3 linked regions of the Oryctolagus cuniculus genome follow. The protein of the gene in region 3 binds, or shares a complex with, the protein of the main gene of each other region. Links are inferred from orthologs where the notes say so. Each region holds a gene or a part of one and is shown on either strand. Other genes may lie near its edges.

What was found.
Region 1: the proteins of RAB8A (region 3) and RAB3IL1 are in contact, whole or in part, in a crystal structure (PDB 4LI0), measured with the Homo sapiens proteins. The link is inferred for Oryctolagus cuniculus from reciprocal best matches to the Homo sapiens genes RAB8A and RAB3IL1. Residues at the interface, in NP_005361.2 of Homo sapiens: Lys10, Phe33, Ser35, Phe37, Ile43, Asp44, Phe45, Lys46, Ile47, Gln60, Trp62, Thr72, Ile73, Thr75, Ala76, Tyr77, Arg79; in NP_037533.2 of Homo sapiens: Arg104, Glu108, Leu111, Glu112, Thr115, Ala116, Phe119, Glu120, Ala122, His123, Arg127.
Region 2: the proteins of RAB8A (region 3) and RAB3IP are in contact, whole or in part, in a crystal structure (PDB 4LHX), measured with the Homo sapiens proteins. The link is inferred for Oryctolagus cuniculus from reciprocal best matches to the Homo sapiens genes RAB8A and RAB3IP. Residues at the interface, in NP_005361.2 of Homo sapiens: Lys10, Phe33, Ser35, Thr36, Phe37, Ile43, Asp44, Phe45, Lys46, Ile47, Trp62, Ile73, Ala76, Tyr77, Arg79, Gly80; in NP_783322.1 of Homo sapiens: Ser199, Arg202, Asp203, Gly206, Leu209, Glu210, Thr213, Ala214, Phe217, Glu218, Ala220, His221, Val224, Asn228.

The regions. Positions count from the first base shown.
Region 1 is NC_091432.1:10,263,173-10,266,782, reverse strand, and holds part of RAB3IL1 (guanine nucleotide exchange factor for Rab-3A), read right to left. Parts: intron 3,536-3,610; coding exon 3,458-3,535; intron 2,921-3,457; coding exon 2,702-2,920; intron 2,081-2,701; coding exon 1,934-2,080; intron 1,525-1,933; coding exon 1,396-1,524; intron 1,294-1,395; coding exon 1,181-1,293; intron 1-1,180. UniProt on the Homo sapiens protein: Guanine nucleotide exchange factor (GEF) which may activate RAB3A, a GTPase that regulates synaptic vesicle exocytosis. Promotes the exchange of GDP to GTP, converting inactive GDP-bound Rab proteins into their active GTP-bound form.
Region 2 is NC_091442.1:72,361,080-72,364,689, reverse strand, and holds part of RAB3IP (rab-3A-interacting protein), read right to left. Parts: coding exon 3,552-3,610; intron 1,454-3,551; coding exon 1,325-1,453; intron 77-1,324; coding exon 1-76. UniProt on the Homo sapiens protein: Guanine nucleotide exchange factor (GEF) which may activate RAB8A and RAB8B. Promotes the exchange of GDP to GTP, converting inactive GDP-bound Rab proteins into their active GTP-bound form.
Region 3 is NC_091447.1:64,696,576-64,700,800, forward strand, and holds the start of RAB8A (ras-related protein Rab-8A), read left to right. Parts: upstream 1-1,342; 5' UTR 1,343-1,390; coding exon 1,391-1,514; intron 1,515-4,225. UniProt on the Homo sapiens protein: The small GTPases Rab are key regulators of intracellular membrane trafficking, from the formation of transport vesicles to their fusion with membranes.

The sequences.
Region 1 (3,610 bases), on a different chromosome or scaffold from region 3:
GTCTGTCCCTGACCCCAACCCCCCAGTGCTTACCTGCCTTGCCCATCCTACCCTCTTTGAGTCCCCTTAGCTCCCCCATGGTTCTCAGCTGCGGCCAGCCAGGCCCCACGAAGAGCCCCCCTCCCAGGCCACCTTGTCTCCTCCCCCCAGGCATGTCCAGCCACCCGCACGGCGGGTCTCTGCGGCTTGAGGGCCTCCCGTTGGGTCTCCCACTTCCAAACCCAGCTCTTGCCTGGACAGAGACCTCTGGGTGACCACCCCAGCACAGGGTCACTATCCCCAGGCTGGGTCAGGCCTTTTGCCTCGACACCTCCTCCCCCTCCCAGCCCCTCTCAACCGCATCCCAGCCAGCGACTCCTCCCAACACCCTCCCTCGCCTTCCCAGTGGCTTTAGGGAGACTCCCAGGTGAAAGATTTAAGCAGCTGCGTGGGTGCAGGACTTCTCTGGGTCACGGTGGCTGTCTGAACAGACTGGAGGTGACTGGATTGACAAAGCACCAGCCCCAACCTCTTTCCACTCTGGCCCCAGTCACCCTCTGCAGGCTTGGCCGACTCCCTGTCCAGCCCACTGCCCCGGCTCCTCACACGGCCGCTCCTTCTGCTCCCTCCCCTACCTGGCAAAACCAGCTCACAAGTCCCCTTCCATGGTGAGGCTCCCACCATGCTGTCAGCTTCCCTGGCCAGATCCTGGAGGGAATCCTCCCCAGTCTCTGCCCCTTGCTCCACCTACCCTGGCGAGCGGGTTTGGCTGCTGCCCCTGCTCAGTGCTGCCTGTGTAGTACAGGGGACAAGATGCCAGGGTCGTTGGACTACTTATTGGCAGGAGGCATTGCCAGCCACTGAACATCACTTCTGCGTTAGTGGGGGGTGTGTGTGTGTGTGTGTGTGTCAGAACTCAGTGAGGGGGACAGGGAGGTAGGGGGAGCAGGGGTCAGCCAGCCAGCAGAAGGAGGAGTCCAGCTCTGGCACTCCCTTGGAGGGCCTGGGGCTCCCCAAAGACCCATCAAAGCTGCCTCCTTTGCCTGCAAGGGAGCCACAGCTGTCCGTCTCCCGTCAGGAGCCAGTCATACCTGAGCCCCGCCCACCCCACCCCCTGGGGTTCCACGCTGAGACTCAGCCCTCACTGTCCACCTGCTGGGCAGGGCTTTCCCGCGTGGGCAGGAAAGGGCACGGAGCTTACTTGGCGCTGCCGCACTCCACCGCAGCCACCGTTACAGCAGGCAGCGTGTGCAAAGCCACGGGCTCGATGGTGAGCGTGTTGTCCTCCACGGCGGCCCGGACCAGCGCCGAGAGCTGCAGAGACCAGGGCGGGGGTGGGGGTGGGGGTGAGGGGCCTGGCCCCTGCTGTAGGGTGCGGGCTGTGCCCCCCGGCTGGCCGCCATCTACCCGCCTCACCTCCTGCACGGTGAAGTCCAGGCAGGGGCCCACGTCCTCCCGGTACACCCTCTCCAGGAAAGGGCTGCTCTTGTCCAGGGTGGGCGACTCCCGCCAGGCCTGGAACTCTGCAAACAGGGTCGTGTCCACCTGCCGGGGAGGGGTAATTAGGGTGCTGGGGGCCAGCATGGCAGAGGAGGCAGATCAGGGGAAGAGCGTGCCGGGGAGGGGGCGGTGAGGTCTGTCCCCAGAGGCTGGCCGAGCAGGGAGCAGCGTTCCTTCTGCCTCCTTGCCCCTGGGAGCTGCAAGCTGCCAGCTCTGACTTCAGGCGTGCTTCCTGTTTCTCCGTGCTACAGGATAAGCACCCTGCCAGAGGTCCCTCACTGCTGAGAGCAAACCAGCAGGACCCCACGCGCCCGGGCAGGTGACAACGCACTCACAGGCGCATGCACACAGGGTGGGGGGAAGTTCATGGGGACCACACAGGCCCGCCCTGGGCGGCATGCACAGTGCATCAGGCTGCCCGGAGCAGCGGGGGGCCCCTCTCTGGAGCCATTACCTGCCGGGACAAGGAGAGAGAGGTAGCGGAGGTGGGGGCTGCAGGCGGCTCCCCGGGCGGGAGCTGCCAGGCCGGCTCGTAGGTGAGGTGGACGGCCTTGTTGGGGATCACGCACAGGAGCAGGGAGAGAAGAGGGGGCAGCCCCGGCTGGGCAGGAGGACAGGCAGGCAGGCAGACAGACAGACAGACAGGAGGAAGGAGGAGACGTCAGTGACCAATCAGAAAGCTTAGAGCTCAGAAGGAGATGCAGGGGCTGCCCCGTGCCTCTCCTCCAACAGCTGCAGGGACAGAGGTGATGGCAGGACGAGGCCTGGCTGGGTTTGGCATTGAGGACCCAGGCGGCTGCGCTGCACCACCTGTCTTTCCAGTGTCCCCCGGAAGCAGCACGGAGCTGGCTCTTGACACCCTTGTCTCGCCTGCCCATTGGCCACAGGAGGACAAGGAAACTGAGCCCCTGACAGGTGGCCTCAGTGGCTCAGGGACCCAGTGCCAGGAGTGTCAGCCCAGCCTGGACCAGGACCCCGTGTGCACAGCCCAGGTGGGAGGCAGACCCCCTCCAAAGGCCACGCTTGGATAGGCAGAGGGTGCTACAGAGCATCTCACGGGGGCTGTGGCCACACGAGGCCCAGTAGCCTGTGCCCAGCCCTCACAGCCCAGGACCCAGGCTCAGAAAGGGGCAGGACAGGTTCCAGGTCACACCGCGCGGGGCTCCGACCCGGCTGACCGTGAGGGCCGTCTCCCGCCCCCGTGCCCACAGCCCGCCCTTACCTCTTTGCCCTCCTTGTCTGGGGTGAGAGTGTGCCCTGCGGTGGGGCACACAGCGGGGCACAAGGCACTGCTGATGCTCTTGTGGCGCGAATGGCCCTTCCGGGGCCCAGCCTTGGTGGGGCTCAGCAGCTGGGGGTGGAGCTCGCGGTTGGGAGAGGCCGGCGTGGACGTGATGACCAGCGTCTTCAAGGCTGTCACCTCCGCCTGCAGCATGTCAATCTGGCCGGGATGCCATCACCCATCAGGGTCAGCCCCGGGCAGCAACTAGCACCTAACCCCACCCATCACCCTTGGAACAGCGTTTGAGGCAGGGGCCCAGGCAGCCATGCCACAGATAGGCTGAGGCTCACGGAGGAGAGGAGGCCTGCCCCAGGTCTCCCGATGAGCAGGAATGATAGGAGCAAGTGTGTGGGAGGGGCCAGGTCTCCCGGAGAGTCCTGGGGCCCTGGGAGCCAGGAGGGCCCAGGCCACACGTTTTACAGATAGGTAAACAGGCTCTAAGGCTGGGAGCTACTTCCCAGGCTCACTGGGGTTTCTGCTTTGTAAAGGGACTCGGAAGCCCCTGGAAAGCCCCAGAAAAGTCTCACTGGAGCAGCAGACACACTGGCAGAGTCCAGGGCCTGGGCTGTGTGATCAAGAGCCCCCCACTGCCCTGCTCTCCTGCCCTGCATTGGTCTAATCGGGCAGCAAAGGCCGAAGCTGGCAGGGCTGGGCGGGTGCCCCAGGAGGGCCAGGGCAGGAGGGGCCAGGCCTCACCTTGCCCCGCGCCTCCTTCAGCTGCTTCTCGGATGCCGCCTGCTTCATGTTGGCCTCTCGAACCATCTTGTGGGCTTCCTGGGAAGAGGGCAGCCTCCGTGTGGGTTGGTGGGGAGCCGAAGGCAGCCCAGGCCTGGGCTCCCCGGGCTGTGC
Region 2 (3,610 bases), on a different chromosome or scaffold from region 3:
ATCGAATCGGCTGCAGCCCCACTGGTTCAATGCTCAGGGTATTGTTTTCCACGGCCTCCAGAACAGCTGAAGCCAGCTTCAACAAAGTGAAAAGTATTAGACTTTATGCTTGCAGGAAAATACCAACGTTGTACTCCACAGTCATCTAATCTTATACATGATTCTTCCCCCAAGTTCCACTAGCTTGGCCTTAGCCAACAAGTAAGAAAGACATCGCATAATCTTAATTTGATTTCTCTTATAATTCAAGCACTGTTATGAAAGGCAATTCAGTTATGGTGAAATAACTTTTCTCATGACCTGGAGGAGGATTAAAGTTATTAATCCCAGTCTCTGTGTCCTCCCTACCTACAACTAAATACCCACTGTTAATGCCACTTCAAAATGAATATTCTAATGCCTTATGCCACTGAACACATGCAATTTTTTTGTGTGTTGGTCATTTATCACATAGCAGTATATGCTGGTTATGGCTATTACTTTCTGAACTTGCACATATGTGCACGAAGTAATTCACTGAATTATCAGATATTAGATCCCAGATGGAAAGGGCACAACCAATAAACAACAAATGAAAAAGGCACACTTCTCAAGCCTGCCAAGATTACGAACACTGAACGGCCCACCTGAATCCAGGCACACGGCCACAAACAACAACACAGATTCCTATCCAAAGTGTTACACAGTTAATCTGAACTTCTTCCTACAAATTAATGTTATAATTAAATCCTTGAAAGACGTAACTAAGACTCTCAGGATTAAATTTCTTCAATACTGACAGGATATTTGTGGATAAACCTTCCACATGCAAGAACAAATTTAATCTTTACATCTGTATAAAATTTTAAAAAATTTTCTATCAACCTAGTACATACTTCATTTTATCCTGTTAACACCCTTGGGACTTAAGCAAAGAGGGCATTATTTTTCATGCTTTAAAGAAGAAGAAAAGAAAAGAAGTGTGATTTCATCATGTACAGATAAACTCAACAAATGCCTTAAGCAGAATGTACAGAGAACTTCCTTATGCTGAATCTTGGACTACGAATCAAAAAATATAAGCCCTACTCCCATAGACATTTCATCCTTCTCTTGAACACAATGCAAGTCTCAGTATGAATGATGCTCTGCTCAAATAAGGAAAGATATTCAGTAATCAAATGCCAAGACATTAGGATCTAATACAGGACGGAGAAAATGCTTGAGCATGACACTTCATGATAATCTACTTATATCAGATATATTAAAATATGGAACAGGACTTCATAAAACGTACAGAATCAAATCTAATGTGTTCCCATTAACATGGAAAAAAAAAAGTTACCTCACTTTTCGAAAATGTCAAACACGGAAAGATATCTTCCTGATAGATTTTGTCTAAGAAAGGACATGTTCTGTCCATTGTTGGCTCATCCTTCCAAGACCTGAATTCATTATACAGAGACAGATCAGCCTAAACAAGCCAAAAGGAAACACATAAAAAAGTTTTAAAAAGTGCAAACAAAAAACCATTTTGTAAAACCAAAACATAATACAAATATTACTAAAAAAGAAATGCTCCTTATTTAACATAATGAACTGGACCATTCTTAATTATCTATAATACACAGTACCAACTTTTCTATAAGAAAACTGACTTTTAAGAAAACTGTCTGATGGGCCTAGTAGTATCCACATAGTATCCATGACGGTGTCCACTGATGCTGCCATTACCCTGTTGGAGCTCCTTTGAAGACACAGGTACGTACTGTTCTGAATATAAAAAAGGATGATAAGTATTTTCTGAAATTAATGAACAAGTACTTTGGAGTCAAGCTAAATAAAGTAAGAGTGAGACCTGATTTGAGGTCATAAGCTGACACTAATTGTTCTATTAACCTGGAGGCACTTAGTTTAAAAATGCCAAGATGCTTGCTGTGTAGGCAACTAGACAAAAAAGCACACACACAACCTACTAAACTATCTTAAAACTCAGCATTTATTTAAATAGTTCGGTACATCAAGTTAACTACCACCTGAACTATCCACAGAGGCGCCTGCCGGCACTGCCTTCCTAGCCACACCTGTGGCTGGCCATCCCCGGCTGCCCCTCTACAGTACATCTTCCCCAAGTCCTCTTCCCTACAGACCCTCAGGCTCCCTCAGCCCAGATCAGCACCTGCACCAGACACGCCAACCACCCCAGCACAGAGCAGTCTCACTGGTCCTCACACAGCGCCACACCAACCAGGTCCACAGTGCTGGGTGTGCTATAAACGCCCCACTGACAACAGCCGTGGCGGCCTCTCGGACGCTTAACCAGATGTGCAAGCAGTCTACACAAAGGCAAAAGAAGGCTGAGCATATCCAAGCTTTCCTATAGATTTCCTTTTAAGATATCAATGTGAGCTTTTTTCCTCCCAATTCAAATTCCTTGAATCAAAGTTAAGGGTAAGGAATTCCAAGATGGCGGAGTAGGGAGGGTGCTTATTGCTGTAGTCTAGAAGATAGTTTTAAAAAAGTGGAGAGGGGCTGGCAATGTGGTGTAGCGGGTAAAGCCACCGCCTGCAGTACCAGCACCCCTTATGGGCGCTGGTTTGAGTCCCAGCTGCTCCACTTCCAATCCAGCTTTCTGCTGCGGCCTGGGAAAGCTGTGGAAGATGGCCCAAGTCCTTGGGGCCCTGCACACGCATGGGAGACCTGGAAGATGCTCCTGGCTCCTGACTTTTGGATTGGCACAGCTCCGGCCACTGTAGCCAATTGGGGAGTGAACCAGCAAATGGAAGACCTTTCTCTCTCTCTCTCTCTCTCTGCCTCTTCTCTTTTCTCTGTTATTCTCATTTTCAAATAAGTCTTTAAAAAAAAAAAAAAAAAAAAAAGGCCGGCGCCGCGGCTCACTAGGCTAATCCTCCGCCTAGCGGCGCCGGCACCCCGGGTTCTAGTCCCGGTCGGGGCGCCAGATTGTCCCGGCTGCCCCTCTTCCAGGCCAGCTCTCTGCTGTGGCCAGGGAGTGCAGTGGAGGATGGCCCAGGTGCTTGGGCCCTGCACCCCATGGGAGACCAGGATAAGTACCTGGCTCCTGGCTCCTGCCATCGGATCAGCGCGGTGCGCCGGCTGCAGCGGCCATTGGAGGGTGAACCAACGGCAAAGGAAGACCTTTCTCTCTGTCTCTCTCTCTCACTGTCCACTCTGCCTGTCAAAAAAAAAAAAAAAAAAAGTGGAGAGAGTGCAGTCTCAGGGAAGAGTTACGGAGAAACTCCAGCAGCAAATCTGGATGAGGCAGATCGCTGACACCACCCACTCTCCTTCATACAAGCCATGACAGTGTGCTCCCTAGATGAAATAGTGAGATGAAGAAGCCTACCAAGTTTCCAGCAGGTTTTCCACAGTCAATCAGGTGGAGAATGGAACTGACGAACCCCTGAAAGCAGCCAGCTCTAGATAAAGCCTCCCCCCTCTTACTAGCACATATTTTGTACTCAAACCTTTGCCAGTAAAAACCACAACCGACACTCAGTGCTGAGAACTGAAAGCATGAGGAAAGCCAGAGGGGACAGTCCTTGACGAGTTACCTCTTTGCAGTCTTTTACAATTGGCTGTATCACACTGAGGTCCTGATGACTGCCACTCA
Region 3 (4,225 bases):
TCAGTGTGACCTACAAGAGACTGGACCATCGCTGAGAGGCACAAACCCCAGTGGTTCCAACTTTGGTTCTCTGATGCTTGGTGGTTTGAATTCAAAAACTAACTTCCCACTTGAGAGCCTGGGAAAGTCAACCTCCTGTGGGCCTGTTTTCCCACCATAAGAAAAAAAAATACAAAACTATCATAAAACTTTTTTTAAAAAAAGATTTATTTATTTGAAAGGGAGAGTTACAGAAAGGGAGAGATATCTTCCATCCGCGGATAGCTCTGGTTAGGTCAAGCCAAAGCCGGGAGCTTGGCTCCTCCCACGTGGGTGGCAGGGGCCCAAGCACCTGGGCCATCTTTGGCCGCCCTCCGGGGCACATGAGCAGGGAAGTGGCTCAGAAGTGGAGCAGCCCCAAACTTTTTTTTTTTTAAGTGTTGGTTACCACCGCCAGGCACAGACGCAACGCTCCTTAACGTGACCTAGAATTGCCGCCGCCCTGAGTCCCCGGGCGGGTGACTTGACCGCCTCAGACAGCCGGCTGGGTGTGAGGCTGACGAGGCTGGGGGGATGGACACTAGAAGCTGAAGGTGGCCGGGACAGCCTCTAATTAGGTCCGAGGGCGGGTCTCGCTTGAGGCGTCCCAATTTCTCCTCAGGGCGCAGCTGGCGGCGGGAAAGCCGCTCAGGTCGCCGAGGCCTGGATATTTCTCTTGGCCGAGAGCCCGCAGCCCGTCTCGAGGGGTTGCATTTCTGTCTCGATGAGCTCCCGGCTCTCTCTGTTTCCTCTTTGGCTCCCACTGACGGGCAGGACGCGGAAAACTCCACTTGGCGTTGCCTGGCTACCCAGCCTTCCCGCGCTCGCCTTGGCGCCTACTGCGGCTGCGCGAGCCGTCAGGGCGGGCCCCAGGGGCTCCTCCACGTGCGTGCGCCCTCTGCCGGCGACCAACGATCTTTCAAGTGCGCGTGCGCCTATCCACCAGGCCCCGCCCCTGGGCTGCCGGCGCGCGAAGCCGTTGGCCCCGCTCCCGACTCGCCCCTTCCCCTCAGAGGGCGGGGCGGGGCCTCCCCAGAGCCCGAGGCGGGGGGGGGAGGCGGGGACATGGGATGCCACACCCCCGCCCCGGTCCCTGTTTGAAGCCCCTCTACTCTTCATCGCTGGCCAATCCCAGCCCGCCCTGTCCCGAGCGCCGACCAATGGGAGGCGCGCTCGAGCTGCTTCCGGCTCCGCGCTCCGCTCGCCCCTTCCTCAGGTCTCCCCGCGACGGGCGGGGCTCGGGGGCGGGCGTCGGCCGCGGTGACGCGCGGCGGGCCGGGAGCCAATGAGGGGCGGGCTCGGAGCTGATGGACGGGTCCAGCGGCCAGTGGCGAGGCGCTGGCCGCACTTCCCGTCGAGGAGAGAGTGTAATATGGCGAAGACCTACGATTACCTGTTCAAGCTGCTGCTGATCGGGGACTCGGGGGTGGGGAAGACCTGTGTCCTGTTCCGCTTCTCCGAGGACGCCTTCAACTCCACTTTCATCTCCACCATAGGTAGCGGGGCTGGGGAGCGGCCGGGGGCGCCGGAGGCCCGGGCCGGGCGCGCCCCTGAGGGGCTGGGGCTGAGGCATCGACCCTGGCCGAGGGGCAGCGGGCTCTCAGGGGGTCTGAAGGGAGCCGAGCAGCTGGCTCCGCCGCGCTTCGCGGGTTCCCGGGCCGTGGTGGTGCTGGGGACCAGTGCCTGTTTGGCGAGTGGGTAGACTGAGGCTCCCGCCTCTCAGCCCGCTCCGTCGGGAGTGTCGGTCCGGGGCTGGGGTTTTGGCGCCCATCCTCTCGTGCCGTCCTCGCAGCCCCTTGCCAAGCCAAGTTCATCTGTGGGCGTTGTGGGAGGGGTCGGTCGTACAGAAGTGGATGCTGGGGCACTTGCGCTCTGCCAGCTGCGTGATCGCGCCCTCCTGGGGCTGCAAGTTAAGGTGTTTGTCACGAACCCATTTCGCGGATGCGGGATTTGAGGCTCAGGGTGGCCGGGGGACTTGTCCAAGGTCACACAACCTGCAGAATAAATGGCACGGATGAGACTTGAACCTCGATGCGTCTTGACAGCCCAGAGGAGCCACTTGGGAGCAACACTCCGACCCCCACCTCTCTCTCCTGCTTTTTCCCCTGGGACTGGACTTTAAGGACTGAGCCTCCTCCCTGGCCCTGGAATCGTGAGGGAGAGTGAGGAGCATTTACCCTGCCCCGCCCTCTATCCCACTCAAGGGTGACAGCCCCAGTGAGTGACAGCTGCCCGCCCAGGGACCTGTCATCCCCTCCCCCAAGGAGATGCAAGATACAAGGCTCCGTGAGAAGCCACAGACAGCACCCCACTCCCTATCACAGGGCCCAGGACTCCGTGGTTGTCCCACTGAGGGAACAGCGCTTCCGGCTGGGCCACCCCACGTGGCGGCTGAGCGGAATCCACTTGTCTTTTTCTGTCGGCCCTGCTGACTTCTCATCACCGTGCCACAAAAGCCAGCCCCTGCCCACGATGACAAGGCTGGACCCGGGAGGCACAGCCGTCCCACAGTGGCCTGCGAGCTAGGTAGCCCTGTTCAGGAAGCAGAGGGGACAGTCACCCAGTCCAGGGGTTGACCCCAGACTGAGGAAACTTAGGGAATGGCTTCCCCCCACCCCACCCCACCCCACCACTGCCACCACCACCATGTCACTTGAGCCACATCTCATTATCACCCGGAACTCCACCATGCTGGAGGTCACCATGCCTGCTTTCCTGTTGCTCTTTGCCCTGGAACAAGCACTACCCCTCTCTGAGCCCCGTGTCTTCAGATTAGAACTCCATACAATGAATGAACGGCCGCCCGTGGCCCAGAGCGACAATCTGGGGGAGACCGATTGGTTCCTGGAGTCGCCTCGCGTGGCGGGAGGTGGCACGGGAGCCAGGGTCCTGTCCTGTCCTGCCACACCAGTCTTCTTCCTGTTACATTTGAAGCCGCCTTAACGGGGCTCTGGCTTCTAGGCTTTGCTCAACCATGACCTTGGAGTTAACGGGCCTCGTAAAGTGTGCGCTTGCTAATTGAACCTCGCGTGTTCCTAGAACCCAGGAGGAGTGCAGGACAGAGGGCTGCTCTAGGGCTCAGGCGACTGAGCAGTGCATCTTGAGTTTGTGCAGCCCAGTGACAGGAGGTGCAAAGGATCCGCGCCCGACTGCTTTATCCCTGAGACAGAACTCAGGCACAGAGCCCTTGGATATTGGTATCGAGTGCCCCTCTGGGTTTTCTTAATAGATCGGGGATTGAATGGCTGTTCATTTGCTTCCCTGGGGTTACGTCTTGCCAAGGCCCATTCTTAGGAGCTCCATCCATCATCTGTGGTGTGAACTTGGCCCTGCGGCTCCCTGCGATCCATTCTCTACCAGCCTGGCTCCGTCCCCGCCATCTCCTCGGGGACCCCGCTCCGTGCCTTCTGCGAGACGGATGATGTTTGTGCAAGTGCCTCCCTCACCACGCGCGGCCACCTACACCCTGTGGCTCTGTGGCATGCCAGCCGCCTTCCACGGACATCTGGGCATCAGCACTGGAGCCAGGGCTTCAGAGCCGGCTCGGGTGCATCAGGAGGGGAGGTAGCGACGGCACGAGGCTGGGCGTTTTGTCCCTGTGACAGCAGCAAGGAAGCTGCGTGCAGCCCATTGCCTTGGCAAAGTTGCTAATGGGCAGAGTTCGAGTGCACGCTTGGGTTTGCAGCCACGAACCTGGAGCTCCATCCGGGTCTCCCATGTGGGTGGCAGGGGCCCCAGGCACTTGAGCCGTCTTTGGCTGCTGCCTTCCCAGGCGCATCCACAGGGTGTTTGGATCGGAAGCGCGCAGTAGCTGGGCCTTGAACCGGCGCTCATCCGGGATGCCGGCACCAGCCCCTTTGTAACAGCTTCAGTGAGATAATGGGGTACCGTACGGTGTCACCCACCAACCAGGTACAATTCAGGGGTGCTTTTCTGCACTCACCACAATCCGTTTTGCATTTTGGTCATGCTGGAAGAAACCCCCACCCTCCTCCGCCAATCCCCAGTCTCCCACTCTCCCCAGCCCCCGGCAACCCCGAACACACGCCCGGTGTCTGTGGGCTTGCTGTTGTGGACATTTCTGTCACAAGGTAGAAGAGGTGTGGCCTGGTGCGTGCAGTTTCTCTCGCTCAGCATCATGGCTTCCAGGGTGCATCCCTGCTGCAGCGAGTGTGGGCACTTTGTTCCTTTTTGTGGCTGGGCAGTA